Linked DNA regions of Lonchura striata. The protein of the gene in region 1 interacts with the protein of each later gene in a pairwise test. Links are inferred from orthologs where the notes say so. Each region holds a gene or a part of one and is shown on either strand. Other genes may lie near its edges.

The links. The genes of interacting proteins can lie anywhere in the genome.
Region 2: the proteins of DAZAP2 (region 1) and TAX1BP1 interact in binary tests that used the Homo sapiens proteins (3 or more experiments, as listed by UniProt). The two-hybrid records come from large-scale screens. The link is inferred for Lonchura striata from reciprocal best matches to the Homo sapiens genes DAZAP2 and TAX1BP1.
Region 3: the proteins of DAZAP2 (region 1) and MAPK1IP1L interact in binary tests that used the Homo sapiens proteins (3 or more experiments, as listed by UniProt). The link is inferred for Lonchura striata from reciprocal best matches to the Homo sapiens genes DAZAP2 and MAPK1IP1L.

What each region holds. Positions count from the first base shown.
Region 1 is NC_134629.1:5,077,571-5,084,509, reverse strand, and holds the start of DAZAP2 (DAZ-associated protein 2), read left to right. Parts: upstream 1-3,937; 5' UTR 3,938-3,994; coding exon 3,995-4,007; intron 4,008-5,232; coding exon 5,233-5,345; intron 5,346-5,573; coding exon 5,574-5,810; intron 5,811-6,939. UniProt on the Homo sapiens protein: In unstressed cells, promotes SIAH1-mediated polyubiquitination and degradation of the serine/threonine-protein kinase HIPK2, probably by acting as a loading factor that potentiates complex formation between HIPK2 and ubiquitin ligase SIAH1.
Region 2 is NC_134603.1:123,123,144-123,130,286, reverse strand, and holds the start of TAX1BP1 (tax1-binding protein 1), read left to right. Parts: upstream 1-4,142; 5' UTR 4,143-4,254; intron 4,255-7,027; 5' UTR 7,028-7,033; coding exon 7,034-7,143.
Region 3 is NC_134608.1:3,537,845-3,544,840, forward strand, and holds the start of MAPK1IP1L (MAPK-interacting and spindle-stabilizing protein-like), read left to right. Parts: upstream 1-3,995; 5' UTR 3,996-4,110; intron 4,111-6,996.

The DNA.
Region 1 (6,939 bases):
GCCCCGGGGGGGCCCGGGGGGTCCCCGCCGCTCTCGCCGCTCCCGCGATCGCCGCGGACGCGGCGGCGGCGGCGGCACAAAGGGGCGGGGGGCGGCGGCGGCGGAGCGGCCCCGGCGGCCCGGCCCGGGCGGCGGCGGGGGCGGCCACGGGGGGCGGCTACGGGGGGCTCGGTGCCGCGGGGGTCCCGGGCGGGGGCTCGGGGCTCCGGCCGGGCCGGCGGGGCTGCTGCGTCATGAACATAATTTATGCGCAGGCCGCGCCGCAGGGCCCGGGCCGCCCGCCGCCGCTGGGGGCGCTGCGGGCGCCGCGCCGGGACCGGGACCCGGGACCGGGACCCGGGAGAGAGACCGGGACCCGGGAGAGAGAGACCGGGACCCGGGACCGGGACCCGGGAGAGGGACCGGGACCCGGGAGAGAGACCGGGACACGGGAGAGAGACCGGGACCCGGGAGAGAGAGACCGGGACCCGGGACCGGGACCGAGACCGGGACCCGGGAGAGAGACCGGGACCCGGGACCCGGGACCCCGGGACCGAGACCGGGACCCGGGAGAGAGACCGGGACCCGGGAGAGAGACCGGGACCCAGGACCCCGGGACCGAGACCGGGACCCGGGAGAGAGACCGGGACCCGGGAGAGAGACCGGGACCCGGGACCCGGGAGAGAGACCGGGATCCCCGGGAGAGAGACCGGGACCCGGGACCCGGGAGAGAGACCGGGACCCGGGACCCGGGGGAGGCACCGGGACCCGGGACCCGGGACCGAGACCGGGACCCGGGACCGAGACCGGGACCCGGGAGAGAGAGACCGGGACCCGGGACCCCGGGAGAGGCACCGGGACCCGGGAGAGAGACCGGGACCCGGGACCCGGGACCGAGACCAGGATCCCCGGGAGACAGAGACCGGGACCCGGGACCCGGGAGAGAGACCGGGACCCGGGAGAGAGAGACCGGGATCCCTGGGAGACAGAGACCGGGACCCGGGACCCGGGACCTCGGGGGAGGCACCGGGACCCGGGAGAGAGACACCGGGACCCCGGGAGAGAGACACCGGGACCCCGGGAGAGAGACACCGGGACCCCTGAGACCCCCGGGACAGAGAGCCGGTCACCCCCGTGAGAGGAACCCCGGAGAGGAACCCCGGGACAGAGTCCCGGGATAGAGGTGCCGGGACCCCTTGGACAGAGACCCCTGAGACCCCCGGGACACCCCGGGACACCCCGGGACACCCCGGGACACCCCCGGAGTCTAAGGGACACCCCCAGAACCAGAAACCCCCCGAAACCAGAGAGCCCCGAGCTGCAGAGGCCTCCTTAGCCCTGGAACCCCAAAACCAGAGACCCTCCCCGGCACCAGAACCAGCTCCAGCCCCAAGATCCCCCACCAGAGGTTCCCAGCCCAGAAACCCCCAAACCCCAGACCTGAAGTGCCGGAACCCCCCAAAACCCCGGATCCCCAATCCAGGACCCCCCAAACCCCGGATCCCCAATCCAGGACCCCAAAACCCCGGATCCCAAATCCAGGACCCCCCAAAACCCCGGATCCCCAACCCAGGACCCCAAAACCCCGGATCCCAAACCCAGGACCCCCCAAATCCAGGACCCCCAACCCCCGAACCCCCCAACCCCCGGAGTGCCGGGCCCCCCCCCGAGGAGCGGGACAAACGGGACAAGGCTGGGGGGAATATTAATGACCCCACAGCCAGAGCGAGCCCTCCTCATTAATAATCATTAATATTCATTAATATTCTAATTACCCCAGGTGCACCTGTTATTGGCGGCCGCGGCCCAGTTCTGCCGGCTTCATTTGCATACGCGCTGCCGTGATTATGAATATTTAATACGAATCGTTAAATACCTACAGCTAGTTAAATCCCCGGTCATTTGCATACATTTGCATATAGCTAATAGTTTGCATGCGGGGAAGGAAAACAGCTCGGGTGGGGGGGCGGATTTTAATTAACAAAGACTCAGCTGAGGGGGGGGAGCTTGGGGGCGGGGGGGGTGGAGGGAGGGGCGCCCCTAAACGGGTCCGGGGGTTCTTAAACGGGTTTAGGGGTCCCTAAATGGGTCTAGGGGTTCTTAAATGGGTTTGGGGGTCCCTAAACGGGTCTGGGGGTCCCTAAATGGGTCCGGGGGTTCTTAAACGTGTCCGGGGTCCCTAAACGGGTCTGGGGGGGTCCTTAAATGGGTCTGTGGGTCCCTAAATGGGTCTGGGGTCCCTAACTGGGTCTGGGGGTCCCTAAATGGGTCTGGGGTCCCTAACTGGGTCTGGGGGTCCCTAACTGTGTCTGTGGGTCCCTAAGTGGGGTCTGGGGGTCCCTAAGCGGGGTCTAGGTGTTTCTAATTGGGTTTGGGGGTCCCTAACTGGGTTTGGGGGTCCCTGAGCGGGGTTCCCAAAGAGGGTCCGAGGGTCCCGGGGGTCTGCAGAGCAGAGCCGAGCAGAGCCGGGGGGGTCCCGGGGGGGTCCCGGGGGTCTCGGGGGTTCCAGGGCGGATCCCGGGGGGGGGTCCCGGGGGTTCCCTGGGGTTCCGAGGGGGTCCCAGGGCGGATCCCGGGGGTTCCCGGGGGTCTCGGGGGTCCTTGGGGGGTCCCGGGGGGTCCCGGGGGTCCTGGGGGGGTTCCCGGGGGTCTCGGGGGTCCTTGGGGGGTCCCGGGGGTCCCGGGGCCGTGGCCGCAGCCCCCGGGGCCGCTCGGGGCTCCCCAGGCCGGGTCCCCTTGAAGGAAAATCAGATTTTTTTTTTTTTTTTTTCCCATTTCTGCGCGTTCTGAAAGCGAGGAACGTTCCCCCTCATGAATTATTCATGAGCGCACCCCCGCGCAGCCGGGAGGCTCATTTGCATATGTATGAGCAGTGCTGCATTATTCATGAGCGCCGGCTCGGGCGGGAGCGGGACAATCCGGACGGGAATTCTCCGTCGCAGGGCGATTTCCCGGCGCCGGCGGCTCCGGAACCGCGCCGAGACTTCTGGATGATTTACACGCAGCGCTACGTACGTGATACACATGGTACGTGTTTGATGTCCTCTTATTTTATCTGTATTTGTTGATTTTTTAATGTACCACTGCGCTCTATATTGTGAATTTATACAAAAATGTATGGCCATATAGTCATATTATACTGTATATTTATATATGAATGCATAATTATATTGTTTTTGTACTAATACAGTATATTAATTAATAGAATGTTTTATTTACTAATCCTTATTAATACTTATTCCTACGTATTATACACTACACTATTGTATCAGTATTTTTAATATTATTGACTATATTTATATATTATTCTAGTATGTATGATGTATCTCTAAAGGTTTTATTGGTATTTTATAAAGATGTAATAAATATCAATTTTTACTGCACTATATATTAAACTGTAATGTTATGTTGTTTAGATTAAATATGTAATTCAAATTATATAATATATATAATATAAATAATAAATATAATATATATAATATACATAATATATGTAATATGTATATAATATATAATATATGATTATGATTTTGATATATGATATATGATATATGATATATGATATATGATATATGATATATGATATATGATATATGATATATTATATATTATATATTTTAGATTAATATAATATATACAATGTATATTATATCAATATATCAATATAATATATATTAAATGTATACTGTATAAACATATTTATATATATATTTATGTATATGTTTATTTAGTATATATAAAATATATTTATTTTTATATATATTTAGGGCCCCCAGACCCTGTTTAGTGACCCCAGAGCCTCTTTAGGACCCCCGCCCCCATCCCGCCCCTCCCTCCCCCCCATTTTCCCGCGGCCCCTTTAAGAGCGCGTGGCCCCGCCCCCGGCGCGATGACGTCACGACGCTCGCTTCCCGTCCCGCTTCCTGCCCCGTCCCTCACCCTCCCCCACGGGCCGCCCCCGCCTCCTGCCGCTCCCGCTGCCGCCCCCGCCGTGACCGCGGGCGCCGCCGCCGCCATGAACGGCAAAGGCAAGGCCGGGGCGGGGCCGCGGGCCGGGACCGGAGCCCCGCCCCGCCGGCAGCGCCGCCCCGCCCGCGCGGCGCCTTTAAGGGCGCGGGGGGCGGGGCCCGGGCGGGGCGGGGCGGGCCCGGGGTTGCCATGGAGACGCGTGCTGAGCCTCGCTTTCACCCGGGAGGCGGGGCTGGGGCTGGGGGAGATACCAAGGGGGGGCACGGGGGGGATGGGGGGGCACGGGGGGGTTGGGGGGGGAGATACCATGGGGGGGCACGGGGGGGTTGGGGGGGTGATACCATGGGGGGGCACGGGGGGGTTGGGGGGGTGATACCATGGGGGGGCACGGGGGGGTTGGGGGTGATACCAAGGGGGGGCACGGGGGGGTTGGGGGAGATACCATGGGAGGGGCACGGGGGGGTTGGGGAGGATACCATGGGGGGGCACGGGGGGGTTGGGGGGGTGATACCATGGGGGGGCACGGGGGGGTTGGGGGAGATACCATGGGGGGGCACGGGGGGGTTGGGGGGGGTGATACCATGGGGGGGGCACGGGGGAGTTGGGGAGGATACCATGGGGGGGCACGGGGGGGTTGGGGGAGATACCATGGGAGGGGCACGGGGGGGTTGGGGAGGATACCATGGGGGGGCACGGGGGGGTTGGGGGAGATACCATGGGAGGGGCACGGGGGGGTTGGGGGGGGTGATACCATGGGGGGGCACGGGGGGGTTGGGGGAGATACCATGGGAGGGCACGGGGGAGTGTGGGAGGGGTGATACCATGGGGGGGCACGGGGGGGTTGGGGGGGGTGATACCATGGGGGGGGCACGGGGGGGTTGGGGAGGATACCATGGGGGGGGCACGGGGGGGTTGGGGGGGTGATACCATGGGGGGGCACGGGGGTGTTGGGGAGGATACCATGGGGGGGCACGGGGGGGTTTGGGGAGATACCATGGGGGGGCACGGGGGGGTGTGACTTTGGGGGGATACCATGGGAGGGGCACGGGGGGGGGTGTGAGGTTTTGGGGGGCTATCGTGGGAGGGGGCACGGGGGAGTTGAGGATTTGGGGATATTTGGGAGGGGGGTCTGGAGCCCTGGGGGGAGCGAGGCCATGCCGTGACGGGAGGAGGGGCTGCCATCGCTGGGGGACACTGAGGCCGGGCTGATCTGCCGGGGGGCGCGGGGCGATGCCCGAGCCCCCGCCCTGGCTCCCGGCTCTCCTGACCCGGTTCTCTCCCCAGGGCCCTTCCCAGGCCAGCCCTTGTTCCCCGGGCCGGCCCCCCCCGGGTACCCCCAGGCCCTGCCCCTGCCGCAGCCGCCCCCCTACCTGGACCCCGCTCCTGCGTACCCCGAGGTAGGTGGGGCACACCTGGGGCATTTACCTGGGAGCCGTCCGTGGCCCAGGGGAGCCCGGAGCTCCCCTTGGACAGGGACCCAGTGACCCAAAGCGCCCCTTTAAAGGCCGGGGTGAATTCCGGGTGCCTCCCGCTCCCGCAGGCAGGTGAGGTCCCCGCGGGTGCTGGATGCGCACCTGGCTGGGGGATGGCACCTGCCTGACCCGGCCGACCCGGTGCTCTTCCAGCTCTACCGCCTCAGCTTCGTGCCCCTGGGCGCCGCTGGCGTCCCCCCCGTGTCCCCAGCGTACCCAGGGGTGTCCCTGTACCTGCCCCTGGCGCCGCCGCCGCCCGTGGGGGCTCTGGGCTCCCCCGTGGCCTATTTCCCCCTGGGACAGCTGTACCCACCGGGCTCCACCCTGCTGCTGGACGGCGGCTTCGACACCGCCGCCAGGCTGGGCACGGGCGGCACTGCCAGCATCCCGGTGAGTGCCGGGGATCTGTGTGTGCGGGATGGGTGGGGAGGTTTGGGACGGGTGGCACTGCGGATTTGGGATGGGGGAGGAGGTCTGGGATGGGTGGCACTGCGGATTTGGGATGGGTGAGGTTTGGGACGGGTGGCACTGTGGATTTGGGATGGGTGGGGAGGTTTGGGACGGGTGGCACTGTGGATTTGGGATGGGTGGGGAGGTTTGGGATGGGTGGCACTGCGGATTTGGGATGGGTGGGGAGGTTTGGGAAGGGTGGCACTGCAGATTTGGGATGGGTGAGGTTTGGGACGGGTGGCACTGCCAGCATCCAGCACAGGTGGAGCCACAGAACGGGGGGATTTGGGTGGGGGGACCAGGAGATCACCTGGCCCTGGCCCAGGTGAGTCCCAGCCCCATCCCACCTGGCCTAGGGCACTGCCAGGTGGGCTTTGGGGTCACCGCTGGTTCAGGGTCACGGCCGGGCTGGGCGTGGCTGCCGCTGCCCAAACCTGGCCTGGGGGCAGCGGGACAAGGGGGGCCTTGGCCACCTGACCTCACCTGTCCCCACACCTGGGCCTGGCACTGCTGCGAGCTCCTGCTCACCTGGGGCTGCTCACCTGTGCCTGCTCACCTGTCCCATCTCACCTGTGCCTGCTCACCTGTCCCCTTCTCACCTGTGCCTGCTCACCTGTCCCATCTCACCTGTGCCTGCTCACCTGTGCCTGCTCACCTGGCCCTGCTCACCTGGCCCTGCTCACCTGTCTCCTGCTCACCTGTCCCCTCACCTGGCCCTGCTTCCCCAGCCCCCCTTGGCTGCCCTTCCCTGCAGCCTGAGAGGTTCCTGCTGCCCTGGAATTCTCTTTGGTAGCTTGGGGACAGCGTGTGCCCCAGGTGACAGCACAGGGGACAGCACAGGTGACAGGTGTCCCTCAGGTGACAGCACAGGGACAGGTGTCCCCCAGGTGACAGCACAGGTGACAGCACAGGTGACAGGTGTCCCTCAGGTGACAGCACAGGGACAGGTGTCCCCCAGGTGACAGCACAGGTGACAGGTGTCCCTCAGGTGGCAGCACAGGGACAGGTGTCCCCCAGGTGACAGCACAGGTGACAGCACAGGTGACAGGTGTCCCTCAGGTGGCAGCAC
Region 2 (7,143 bases), on another chromosome or scaffold:
AATAGTTTTCTGTAACATGATCTTAAAGAAGTTGATTAAGTGTGCTTTACAGCATGACCAGAAAGAGCTTCCGATTAGTGACATCAGTATATATATTTTACATCTCACATGACCCACACTTTTAAAACTTGGAAGTGTTGAAATAGGAGTCAAACCAAAATGAAATCAAATCATCAGAACTGAAGCATTTCCTTACCACACTTCATCAATATCATCATGTCATGCCAATAGACTGAATATCCACAACATCAAGTACCTCTCCCTGGTAATAAAACCTAGAAATATATAATTTTTCTGTCACTCACACAAAACAAAGATGGGCCTCAGAGGGGAGGAATTCAGGGATGGTTCAAAAACTCATCATGGGTTTGGTTCAGACTACAGTAATACATAAAGTAAACAAATGAAAGAAAAAAAATGTTAGGCTCTGGATTGAATAAAAGTTCACATCTATCCAAGGTTAAACAGATGTGACAGGGATCCATTTTTAATTTCAAGGCTCTAAATTACTGGGGCTCAGAGGTTGAAGAAGATAGTGTAGTTATAAAAACAATGTTTTGCAAGCACCCCAAACTCTGTTCCCTAGGAGTCTGTAATTGCTCCGTTTCCTTTGGCAATTCTGGTTAACTGCATGTTTTTATTCCTCATTCATCTCATGCCTGAGGAGGGACTAGTCTCATCCTAGCAATGTCTCAGTATAATTACAAAGCAGGGAAATTTTTGCATCCCAAACCAAATTTCAAACTTATTTGGAATCTAGTGATGTTCAAATCCAGTTACTGAATTCTGAATTCACACACGCTTTTAACTTTATTTAATATTTCTATCACAACCACAATTTTTATTTGCCAGCTTTTTATTTCCACGTCAATACCCTGGTGAAATGTATTTGACATATATTGCTTGGAGATTGTGCATATAAACACAAAAAGAGAGAGAGCAGGGATTTTTTTCAGCCTGTAGAAGAGGTGGGCCTATTGCTATCGACAACCAGCTAAGCAAAGGGTGTAGAAAAGATGGAACAGAATTTTCTCCAGAGGTCCACAGTGAAAAAACAAGACAAGAGACAAAACTGGAACATGGGAAATTGATACAAAGAAACATTTTTACAATTAGTGTTTTCAATCACTGAAAGAGGTTCTTTAGATGACATGGAATGTCTCCATCCGTGGAGACATTTGAAATGGGACTAGGTACAGCCCTGATCAACATGCTCCTTCAAGCTGCTCTGGACATCCCTTCCAACAAACATGGTTTTAATTATAAAAATATATATATATAGTATAATTAAAAAATACTTGACATTCCCAGTTTGTTTTTCTTTTAAATATGCATAAATACTGCCTAAACATTGATATTATGTGTTTAAAGTACATCCTGCACATGAAAACTGCACATAAAAACTGTACCATTTGTGGTAAAGTACTGGCTTGAACAAAACCAGTTTCCTGTTACTGAAATCAGGGATTGGAAAGCTGAAAACCAAGCCAGAAGGAGATGAGATTATTGTCACCATCCCTGTAATAAGCTTTTCTAATTAGTGTGTTAGTGTTAAAAGAATCTCAAAAGAGTAAGATTCTGTTAGAAATGCTGATATCAAACTTTTTTTTGGTTTTAAATATTTTGCAGAAATGTAAGTAAGGATAGAAAAGTAGTATTGGAGGGGTTTTTTGTTTTGTTTGGGTTGTTTGTTTTGTTTCTTTCTTTGTTTGTTTTCTTTCTGCTCAAGAGCAGGTTTCCTGAAAGATTTATATCACATGGATTAATTTCAGGACATAGTATCTGTCTAGCAAATCAGACTTATCAAGGTGGTCAATCATTAATTCTCAGCCAAGTGCAAGTATCACTGGTTCCAGTCACATTTTTCTTTATTCAGATCTATGTACAAGGACATTTATTATTGATTCTGGGATCTCTGTGCACCACTTGTCCATTTTGGTCAAGTATTTAATTTCTTGACATGGCAATAAAATTAGAAGAGGCTCTCCAGCATTTTTCTGTAAATATCTATAAATTCTAGAGGGGTAGGATTGGCATCTAAATCTAGCATGTAAAAGCATACATGAGAACACATTAAACCACACATTTATTTTAGTCAGAAATGGTTTTATATTTTATATATAACCACCATTATGTGGTTAAGAAGACAAGTTTAGAAGTTTAAAAATACTGAATTATGAGGTTAATATGGCAAGTTTAGAAATTTAAATTTTCCTGAAAATTATGGATATAGGTACAAGAAAAGGCAAGATAATTCTCAATTTATTTGTCCTATTGTTATATATACACTTTTCATGTTAATGTCAGCATTTCAGTAGGTTTTTTTACCTTTTCCATATGCATTAAGCAATAGAAATAATAACTGAATACCGAATTATGAGTAAACCATAACTGCCTTTATTGACTGAATGAACATTTATTAAGTGAACATGGAAATATCTCAAGTTTCTTAAAAAACTCAGAACTGAGAAGTATTTTTTAAAAAAATTAGGAAACAGAAGTGGGTTGTTTGTTTTTCCAGGCATTCATGTATAAAGATTTTGTTAGCTGCAAAAGAAAATATTTATTTCAAATTTCTCATCATATTCCCACAAACCTGCATTACAATGGCTTTAAATGAAAGCAAAACTACTTTGTCTTTACCAACGCTGACATTCCCCAGCTGGTGACTGTAAACCCTGAGTTCTTCCTAAGTTCCAGCCCACACGAGAACAGAGAACAGTGAGTGTCTTGTGACTATTAGACAGCTCTTTATCACATCATACAGAGCAAAGTGCAGCAAGGAGAAGAAATGGATGGCTGAGATAAGAAGGAACAGCCCTTTCTACCTCCTTACAAATATTTATTGCTGAACAAAATACTGGTCTCATTTTCCACTATAAAAGTTCATCTGGTCTTACATGACAGATTGCTCTACATACACTTCTCGTGTCTTCTAAAATGATCAGTTAGTACTATGCAGGGAATTTATTGGTTTCCAGGGAAACATGGAATGTATGGATGATATAAGAGATTATTCATTGTGGCTACAAATCAAAAGATAATCTAGTAATCTGTGACACACCTTAAGACACAAGACTGTTTTCAGAAACAAAAATGCAAGTACAATGAATTACCATAATTACTTAAATACACTTTCTATGCTCCAGCTTAGTTTCATTTCTGTTAGGATTGAACATGAAAAAACAGGTGAACTTGAAACAGAAACCTAACTCAATAATTCAAATTATTAATCATATTATTTGTAATAACACTATGTCTCTCCACATAAACTGTTTGTTTTAAATACACATGAAAACACGTAAGAAATGGTAGCAGCAAAGAATTTAAGATGATCTTGAAGACAGTTTGTAGTGGCAACGAACACTGGGTGCACTGGTCAACACCGTGACTCTGGTCAGTGCTCTACGAGCTGCTTTTTAATGAAAATGGAGAGGACCCTGTGAAATAGTTGCGAGCATAGTCAGAAAAGCCTTAATGCCCAAACCGTTTAAATCCAGATTGTTTTAAAACTATCAGATGTGGTAAAAGGTATTAATCCTGTATAAACTTGTGGCAACTAGTGGTTATGGTGGTGGAGTCACAATCTCCTAGCGGTGTTCAAGAAACAACGCGCCATTTAGCGCCACGGTCTAGCTAACAAAGTGATAATTGGTCAAAGGTTGAACGCAATGAGCTGAAAGGTACTTTCCAACCTTAACGAATTAGGTTGGAATTCTGTGCTTCCCTGGTTCTCCGAGTCAGCGTTGTGTGTGATGTAACGCCCTACCATGGCGATCCGCCAAGGTACCCAGGCAGAACCCTTTACAGCCACTCCTATCTCACCCCTCCGTTGCCCCGGGAAGACCTGCAAGGCTGGCAGATTAACGGTGATCTACAGGGTGGCGGCACGCCCGTGTCCTGACGTGGGACGGAAGAGGAGACGATTAATTCGGGTAAGTGGGTGCGACAGAGGTGATGTTGTAACCACGGACAAGGCGGGCGGGCACCGTGGGAGCGCTGTACGGAGGTGAGGGCAGCCCGGTCGGGCACACGCCGCGCACAGCACTGTGCCCGCAGCCCCGAGCCGCGCCCCCGGCCCGTGGGAAGCGGAGACCACCGGGCGGCTCCCCGGTGCCCAACCGGATCCGTGTCGGGCCCGCCCCGTGCGGGCAGGGCCGGGCTGGAAGTGACGCGGGCGGACGGGCGGAGCTGCGCGGCGCTGGTGGCCGAGGCCCCATGTTGATGTCCCCGGTGCCCTCCGCGTCTGCCTAGGTAAGAGCTGTCCGTGGCCGGCTGCGGGTCCGGGCAGGGCTGACACGCTCTTTCCCGCCGGCCTCCGGCCGCTTCTGGGCCGGGCCGTGCGGCCGGGCCGTGCGGCCGCGGCTCTGCGCCACCGGCCCCCGCTAGCTGTTCGGGCCGGCCGTGTCGGTAGGGGAGCGGCGGGGCCGGGCTGCGGGAGCCGGCGGGGCTCCCCGGCCCGCGGGGGAAGAAGGAGGCCCGGAGCCAAGGTGACCGCGTCGGGCAGGTGGCGGAGCAGCGGCGGGGAAGGGGCGGGTGGGGACCGGGGGTGTCGGGGGCCCGGGACCGCAGCTGGAGGACTCCGGGAGGAGCTGTCTGTGCTGGCGCGGCTCGTCCTGCTTTTGTTTTTCCTGCTCGACGAGCTTTTCCTCCCTTTCACCGTCCTTTCCGCTGCGCAAAGCCAAACGCGTCGTTTAGCCTTCCCGTGGGAAGCGCTTGTCACGTCGGTAATGAAGCCTGTGCGTAGCTCTTCCTCCTCCTCTCCCGTTGCCTAGCCGGTAGCTGTGAGTTAAGCAAGCAAGTACCCAGCATCCCCATAACTATCCTTGAACTGTAAGTAGATCTGACCATCACCTAAGCCCCGGGGATTTTCCTGCTAGGCAACAGTAATCCCAGATGATTGTGCTGGTCTGCACAAGTTAGATTTGTGAGCAGTTCTGCTTTAGGGTTGGAAACCAGTCTTGCCTTTACTGGTTCCTCTAGGGCTACTGCTCAGCTGCCACAGCTGAGCAGCTGACAATGTGCAGAAACAGATAATTTTTTTTCCTTCTGGTTGGGGTTGGGTGTTTTTTGTTTTTATTTTTTTTTAATTTTTTTTTTTTTTAAATTTAGTTTTTTTAATATGTGCTTAGGCTGAGCTATACAATTTTAAAGACAGATTTACTGAAAAATCAATTGGTTTTATTATTAATACTGTTTACTCTTTTTTGTACTTATTCTACCTAATGAAAATGTCAGTGTTATTTTGGTAAGTTACCGAATTACTAAAAATGAATGAATTTGTTGCAATTGAAAATAACTAAGGTTTTTCTTTTAGAGCCATAGATAGTGCTGATGCATACCATTTGTAGTTCAGACTGAAATTGAAAATGTTATTCTCTGTTTTGAGATGTGTGGGAGTTTTCAGGATTTTACTGTGCTGTAATATTTCCTATTCTGGACTATGAAGCTACATAACTGATAGGATTTATTGTGTACCCTGTTGTCTCTAGAAAACTGTATTTTGATCTTTACTCAGTTTCCTGCTTGTGGAAGTTCCTTGTTTTTCTTCTACATCTATTCATCTTCACAAGCTTTGTGTTTTATCTTGTACCCCGTGTTGGTCAGTATACAAGACTGTTTTTTTATTTAACATCTGATACATTGAAATAATGTGGCTGCCCGCCCCTATGTACCTCATGTGTTACTCTAAATTGTGCAATAATAAGCTTAAAATTTTGATGGCTTAAAACTAAAAAAAACCTTTTGTATTTACCTTTTCGTTGTTTTGGGTGATGGATACGTGTTTACTTCAGAGTGCAGTTTGTTTCAGAAAGCACAAGGTCTTTGCTACTTATTTTTTAACTGGTGAAATTTTAAAAGGCTATAGGAGGTATGCAAACACCTTTTCATATTTGAACTACTTGAGGCTTGCAGTAGCCTGTCTCCTTTTGGTTTTGGTTTCTATATGTATCTTCAATGAAAGTAGCATATTATGTCACACGCTTGGCAGTAACCTCTTTCAAGCTGTGAATGTGCTTGGTTGGTATAAAATTACTTTCAACAGCAATTGCAAGAACAGGGTAGCTCATCTTTCCAGAAATGTCAGCTACATAAGGCCCTAATCCTCCTAATATCAAATGTTTTGACAAACTGTTGATTATATAATGGAGTCAGACATTTGAAACTTTTCAGTTGCATATTATTCTATTTTTGGTAGATATTGCCGAATCTGAGGAAGGGATGTTCTTCTTCTGCTTGTGAAGCATCTTGTGTTACTGTAGTTGTAGCACTATGTATCCTGAATGAGGTGGTAAATGGAAAGAACAAAAGCTTTTGCAGTCCAACTGATTAGTGTTACTCCCTTCAACTTCGCGCATACCTCAATGTTCCTGCTATCAATGCAGGCCATTGTTTATGGTAATGAAGCTAAACACGAAGTATGTGTTACAGTGAGAATAGTAAAAGATGTCCATAGACTGCTAAACGGGGGCAGGCGAGAGAAAAGCCAGCCCAAACAAACCCTCCTATTTACATAAACTTTCTTATTTTTTAAAAAAAAGTCTTGAAATGGAACTCTGATGCTTTTACTGAGAGGGGAGGAAAAACTTAATGTGTAAAAATGCTGTGAAAAGCACTGAGCAGTACAGATTTGAGAAAAGTTTGAAGTGGTGAAACTACAGAATCTCCTTCTATAGCACGTCTAGACCATTAAGAATCTTTCATTAAATTAGAACCCTGCTTTGTTTTCACACCACTGCTTTTATTTTCCCCTTTCTGACACTGAGATATACTAGGGACATTCAACTAAGCAATGCTTTCTCTTCATCTTGATGTCACTGCTGAAATGACTGCTCTTTTTATTCTGCGAGGTGGTTGTTTTGGAGAGATGCTGAGGCAGTGAATTTAGTCTATGGCTCTCTGTTTTCAGAGCAGGGCAACTAATTATTAGGCTTTTCTGTCGTACATATTTCTACTAGATTAATTTTTGTAACTTCACTTGTTTTTCCACTATGTTCAGGTAACAACTTCTACAATTTTGTTACAGATAACCATGTCATCCTTTCAAGAAGTTCCGTCTTCAGCTAGCACTTTGCAGACCTCCAATTTTGCACACGTGATTTTTCAAAATGTCGCGAAAAGTTACCTTCCAAACACACATCT
Region 3 (6,996 bases), on another chromosome or scaffold:
AGAATCAAAACTGGAACTAAAGATTAATATCTTATATCTCACTGTTCCAGCCCATCAACAAGAAACTGGCATTTTCTTAATGAAAGCTGCCATTACATTCCAGAATTTTAAACTTGATTTAAAAAAAAACACCTTTTTTTTTCTGAGTTGGATAGCAAAATGATGCCTCCACTGTGTGCTGTTCCTCCTGACTGGCTGATGTAAAAGGGAGGTACAACAAAGATATTGTTATTGTTCCTTTGAATTTACTGTTCATGGCATGAACAGCCCTCCGGGTGTGATAAAGTTCCCTTGGCTCCGATGCCTGTCACAACTCAAGATCTGTGCTATTGTCCCTGAAAAGTACTGAATCGGACAATTTAAGTATTGTCTGTTGGTCTTTTACCCCAAAACAAAGGCTGAGGCAGGCAATTATGCCCAATTTTGTCACTGAAAGACAAGAGAGATGCTGAAACCGGAGGGAGTTCAGCAGGGGCCACTGGCACAGCTGGGGGCCAGAGCATGAAGAAAGGCTGTGGAAATTGTATTTTTGAGGGTAGGAAGGAGCTCACGGCAGCCTCCAGCCATCCAGGCGGGTGGTACTGAGTGGGCAGAGGTACATGGCAGGAGGACAAGCCACAATTCCAGCAAGGGAAAGTCTGAGGGATGCAGGGAATAATGGCAACACTCACAGGGGCTGTTTTTAGGGATGCAACATCCAGAGAGGTTGAGCAATCTCCGACTTTGGAGACACTCAGGACTCAGGCAGACAAGGTTCACAGCTATTCCTGTTTTGAGACAGAGGTTAGACCAGAGCTTCCTTCCAACCCAAATATTTACATGAAGCTGAGCTAAAAACAGAGAGGCCAACACTTGTAGCACACAGGCAGGGTGCAGGCCCTGCAATGCAGGCTTGTACTGAGGAACTGCCCTCACATCATTACACCAAACAGCCTTTCTGAATAATTTAAATTCACCATTTCACCCCAGCTTTTCTTTCATTACATATTTTAGTGTGCAAAGTGCAAACATCTTCCAATAGGATGTAGGCAGGGCTCGGTGTTAGCCTTTCCCAAGACCTATTCCTGGCACTAAGATGAATCAATTGAATGTAAATTCCACACTGGCACAGGCTGCCCATAGAAGCTGTGGTTGTCTCATTCCTGGCAGTGTTCCAGGCCAGGCTGAACAGGGCTTGGAGCAACCTGGTCTAGTGGAAGGAGTCCCTTCCCATGGCATGGGCTTGGAACAAGATGAGTTTTAAGGTCCCTCCCAACCCAAACCATTTTGGGATTCATTTTACAGTCTTCAGCAGATACACACATGCAGCTGAAAAGCTGCATTTGCCCAAGGTGGGGGAGAAAAAGTTCAAAAATTCATCATCCTTTTCTACTTCTACACATTGTGTGATCCTATTGTGCAGCTCGGTGAGGTTGGTGAGATTATTGATTAAAAGTGCTTTTGCAGTCCCAGACTGATATTTAAAGTGAGACATCACCACTGTTGTCAGCTGCATGTTTGCTCATTAATTAGGGTTTCTAACTACCAGATTGCTCAGGAAAAAACGTCAAGCTCTGGGGACTCCTGCTGTCACCACTGGCAGCCCAGGACACGGCAGCAGCTGCCCACAGCGCTGCCCTTTCAAGCGTGGAAAAGCAAAGGTGCCCTGAACACAGCTGGGAGGAGGATTGCTTTCATTCCTATTTGCTCATTTCTTCCAAGGAGGCCACACCGAAAGGGCTGCTCCTACGGGAACTCCCAGAGATCGCTGGACTAGGAAAGGCAATTGTGAAAGAGCTGTGAAGTCAGCCCAAAATTCCCCTGGCTTTTGTTTCAATTCAGAGGACACGCTGTCACATCCTTATGGAATGGGGTCTATAGCAAATGCCCACTTAGTTTTGGTGGTAATTATTTATGAAAATTAGTCAGTAAAAACGTTGCAGTTTCATGCCTTTTACAGCTACCACAGAATTTCAGAATGGTTTGGGTTGGAAGGGACCTTAAAGACCATCTTGTTCCAACCCCTGACATGAACAGGGACACCTGCCACCATCCCAGGTTGCTCCAAGCCCTGTCCAGCCTGGCCTTGGACACTTCCAGGGATCCAGGGGCAGCCACAGCTTCTCTGGGCACCCTGTGCCAGGTCCTCACCACCCTCACAGACAAGAATTCCTTCCCAATCTCCCACCCATCCCTGCCCTCTGGCAGTGGGAGCCATTCCCTGTGTCCTGTCCCTCCATCCCTTGTCCCCAGTCAATCTCCAGCTCTCCTGGAGCCCCTTCAGGCCCTGCAAGGAGCTCTGAGCTCTCCCTGGAGCTTCTCCTCTCCAGGTGAGCACTCCCAGCTCTCCCAGCCTGCCTCCAGCCATTGGAGCATCTCCATGATTTCCTCTGGATTTGCTCCAGCAGCTCCACCTCCTCCTGATTTTGGGGGCCCCAGAGCTGGACACAAAACTCCAGTGGGGTCTGAGGAAACTGGAGCAGAGGGGCAAATTCCCCCCCTCTCCCTGCTGCTCACTATCCTGGGAAGATTTCTGGGCTGCCAGCGCCCCGCTCCTGCTCCTGCCGCTGAATTTTCCCTGTTACTTCAGAAAGGGTCGAATAATGACCTTGAAAAGCACAAACAGATGCTCACTCCCAAGGGAAGGGTGCCAGCGGCCGGGTCGGCATGTGCTGGGCATCGCCCGTGCCCGCGTTTCTGCTGAGTTTAACGGAATTCTCCGGGCTTGGAAAGGCTCGGGATTAGTGCCATAGCTGGGAAGGGCAGGGCAGGGAACCACACCGTGTGCTTGCGCCCCGCCACAGGGGCTGCGGACACGGGGGCACACAGGGAGAGGGCAAAGGGAAAAGGCAGATTTCAGGCGCAGCTTTAGGGTTGAAAGGTGAAAATTGGATGATTTGGGATACCTTAAAAGTGAAAATTCCGTGATATTTTGCGTAAGATGAGGTGAAATCCCAGCCAGTGGTCATGGCCACAACGCTGACAGATGTCTCGGGAGCGTGGTGGAAATTTTGGAGCTGTCGGGATCGCCTTCAGTCGTTCCTGTTGGGCGAGAAGAAAATCAGAATTGGATTTTCAGCAATCATATAGATCCATCAGAAACTGCTGTTTGTATGATTATTAATGACACTGTTTATATGATTGTTAATTACACTGTTAAGAGTTGCGCAGCTTCTGCTGAAGTGTTTGTCCTGGCAGCTGTAGATGTAAACAAATCAATGCTTTTGGAGCTTTTTCTGGGACCACCAATGGCGATTTACCTTGCACATAGAAATAACATTTTAATTTCTGTCTAGTTAAAGTGATAATTTTTTTTACACTGAAAATATTTTTATTTTTTTCCCCGTTGAAGGGACAGATAGTAAGAACTTTGCTTTGTCTCTGCTACAGGTCTTGAACTGCACGGCGCAGATTTTGATTGACGGACGAGGGGGGGCGACAAATCAAGGCACAAGTTTATATTTTTTTTTATTAAAGTGGTGAAAATGGTTGTGTCCCTCGTTGAAGGGACAGAAAGGGCGTACTTTGCTCTGCAGGTTTATCCTGCAGGTCTTGAACTGCACGGCGCAGATTTTGATTCACCAGCGAAGGGGGGGGCGACAAATTAAGATACAAGTTTACATATTTTTTAAATTAAAGTGGTGAAAACGGTGGTGAAATGCTGTTTTAGAGCAGCTCCCGTCCTCCAAACCAGGTCCCCTCAGAAGCCGCGCCCGCCCCTCAGCGGAGGCGTCACGTGACCGCGGGGGGGCAAGGGCGGGCCGCGCTCGCTGTCACGTGACCCCGCTCAGCCCGCGCGGTTATTAAATCAGCGAGGGGCGTGGCCTCACCATTGATGGGCGTGGCCTATTATGCAGATTTTGTGGGCGGTGACCCTGTGGGGGCGTGGCCACGGGTGGGTGGGCGTGGCCGCGCCGCCGGTGGGCGGTGCCGGTGACGCGGCGGCCGCGGAGGGGGCGTGGCCGAGCGCGCGCCCCTCCGGTGCGGCGGCGGCGGCGGCGGCGCGAGGGGGTGGGGGCGGCGTGGGGCGCGGCCGCCGTGACGCAGTTCCGCTTCCGGTGCGCCGTCGCTGTGGCGGTGCAGCTGCGGCCGCCGCGTCGCTCCGGGCCTGCTCCGGCTCTCCCCGCACAGGTACCGGCACCCGGCCCCGCCGCCGGCACGGGCCCCGCTCCGCCGCGGGGAGCGCGGGAGGAAGGAGGGGGGCCGCGGCCGCGGGGCCTCAGACATCCCGGAGGTGCCGCCCCGCCTGCGGGGGGGCGGGCGGTGCTGGTTCCTCCTGCCGAGCACCGGGGGTCGCTGGTGGCGGGGCCTGGCGGCTCCGTGGCGGCGCTGTCTTGGCTGGGTTAAATATTTGTTGTTTTTTTCTTTAATTTTTTTTTTTATTATTCTTTTTGCGCTGTGCGGCCGTAATTTATTAATGAGCGCATCAATGAGCGTGGATTGCATATAAGTGACTTCGACTTAAAGCCTCCCTAAAGAAGGGTTGGGGAAAGGCGCTTTTTCGGAGTTGGTGAGAAGTTGGTTTATCACATTTTAACGTGTTTTTAAGGCAGCTGATGCACAGGGGAGGGCCAGCACCTGACAGGTTCTGTTCCTGATGGAAAACTTGTTTCCAGGTGAATTTCCGTGGAGAACGGTGGCGATCTGGTACTCAGCCTTATTGCCAGTGGTGTCAGAACAAAAGTGGCTGCTTTGTGTTTTTGAAACCAAAATGACACACCCTGAAACTGCCCTTCCCGGGAGCTGTGGGGATCAGGGGCTGAAAGAAAAATTCGTGGTGAATATCCCAGGCCAGCCCTGGGAAGCATTTGGGATATTCTCGAAGCTTAAGTTCATCCAAGTGCGTTTGAACAGTGCCAGTTGAAGAAAGGTGCCAGGTGTAAAGCCTGAAAAGTGGGTTTTTTTTTTTTTTTTTCTGGGAAAGAGCCTCTGCCGAGGAGCAGGAAGGTGTCTGGGTTTGTGTGTCAGGATGGAGTGGGACTCGTGGGTTTGGTGTTTTTTTAGGGGGTGACACCACAAACCTGCAGTGAAGCTGTTTGACAGTCACTCCTCAAGAGTCAGGGTTTTCATTTCACCCAAAACAATTACAATAATTGAGCTGATAATGCTTGAGACGAGAACAGAGGCTGCCCCTGAATCCCTGGAAGTGTTCCAGGCCAGGTTGGACAGGGCCTGGAGCAGCCTGGGATGGTGGAAGGTCTCCCTGCCATGGCACAGGTGGGATGGGATGAGCTTTCAGTCCCTTCCACCCCAAACCCCCCTAGGATTCTGTGATGTGAGGCTCTGTAGCTCTCAATATAATTTAGAGGCAACTCTGAAAGATCAGTTTTAATCATTGCAGGCTGCTGGACCAACAGATCTTTTCCAGGATTCCCAGGGCTGGGTGCTGTGGACAGGAGGGATCAGTGGCCGGGGATTCTCTTTGCTGTGCCCTGACTTGGTGTCACAGCTGGCACACAAACTGGGCACCTCCCTGTGCTCCCTGTCTGCCCAGCTGGGCATCTGCTGGGTTTGGGGACCAGCTGTGGAACTGAACGGCCTGGTGAGGGTGAAGAGCTGGCACAGATCACAGATCCTTATGGCTTTGTGTTTTACAGGTCCTGGAAACTGCCAGGTCCTCTATTTTGAAGAATTATTTTCTTTTTGGTAGTTGACAGTTTATAGCAAATGCCACCATTTGGTTGTCAGTCTTGAAGGCATCTGTCCTGAAAATCTGGAAACTGACTTTTGTCATTTTTTCATTTTTAACAAACAGGGAAAGGGGCAGAAATATCCAAACTTCTCCTAGCCACTGATGATTAGCTGTTGGTTTAGTTTGTCAATTAACTTTATTTTCCCCATGGATTAACACCCAGGGCACACCAAATTATTTTATGGTATGTGAGCACTGGGGAGGCTTTAAGGATGGGGAAAGGGCCAGAGGAGGCCACCAAGATAATTGAGGAAAGGCTGGGAGAGCTGGGATGGTTCATCCTGGAGAAGAGAAGGCTTTGGGGTGATCTAATTGTGGCCTTCCAGGACCTGAATAAAGTCTGCAAGAAAGATGGAGAGGGGCTGTTTAAGAGCATGGAGTGACAGGGCAGGGGGGAATGGCTTCCCACTGCCAGAGGGCAGGGATGGATGGGATATTAGGAAGGAATTCTGCTCTGTGGGGGTGGGGAGGCCCCTGGATCCCAGGAGATGGGAGAAATCTGCACCTCTGCTCCAGTTTCCTCAGACCCCACTGGAGTGTTGTGTCCAGCTCTGGGGCCCCCAAAATCAGGAGGAGGTGGAGCTGCTGGAGCAAATCCAGAGGAAATCATGGAGATGCTCCAATGGCTGGAGGCAGGCTGGGAGAGCTGGGAGTGCTCACCTGGAGAGGAGAAGCTCCAGGGAGAGCTCAGAGCTCCTTGCAGGGCCTGAAGGGGCTCCAGGAGAGCTGGAGAGGGACTGGGGACAAGGGATGGAGGGACAGGACACAGGGAATGGCTCCCACTGCCAGAGGGCAGGGATGGGTGGGAGATTGGGAATTGGGAATTCTCTCCTGTGAGGGTGGTGAGGACCTGGCACAGGGTGCCCAGAGCACCTGTGGCTGTCCCTGCATCCCTGGAAGTGGATTGGCCTTGGACCAACCTGGTCTTGTGGAGGAAGGTGTCCCTGCCATGGCAGGGGGTGGAACAAGGGGAGTTTTAATGTCCCTTCCAACCCAAACGCTTCTGGGATTCTCTAAAGGCCGACTCTGAAGTGTTGATATTTAACGCCTGAAGCTGCAGGAATTTGCATATTTTAGAAAACATTTAGAAGCCGTCAAAGACTTGGTGTCTCTTCCATTTTCTCCGGGTGCTATGTTGGGTAGTTACACTTATGTGGGCAGAAATCCTGTTGTGGATGAGGTGATGCTGGTAGGAATTAGTCATGTCAGAGTGACAAAGGAACCTCTCTGCCGAGGCAGCCGTGCCACCCAGTGGAAATGCAGCACAGCCTGTTGCATATCCAGAAAAACCTTTTTCTGTGTTTGAAAGATGATCTTGGAGACAG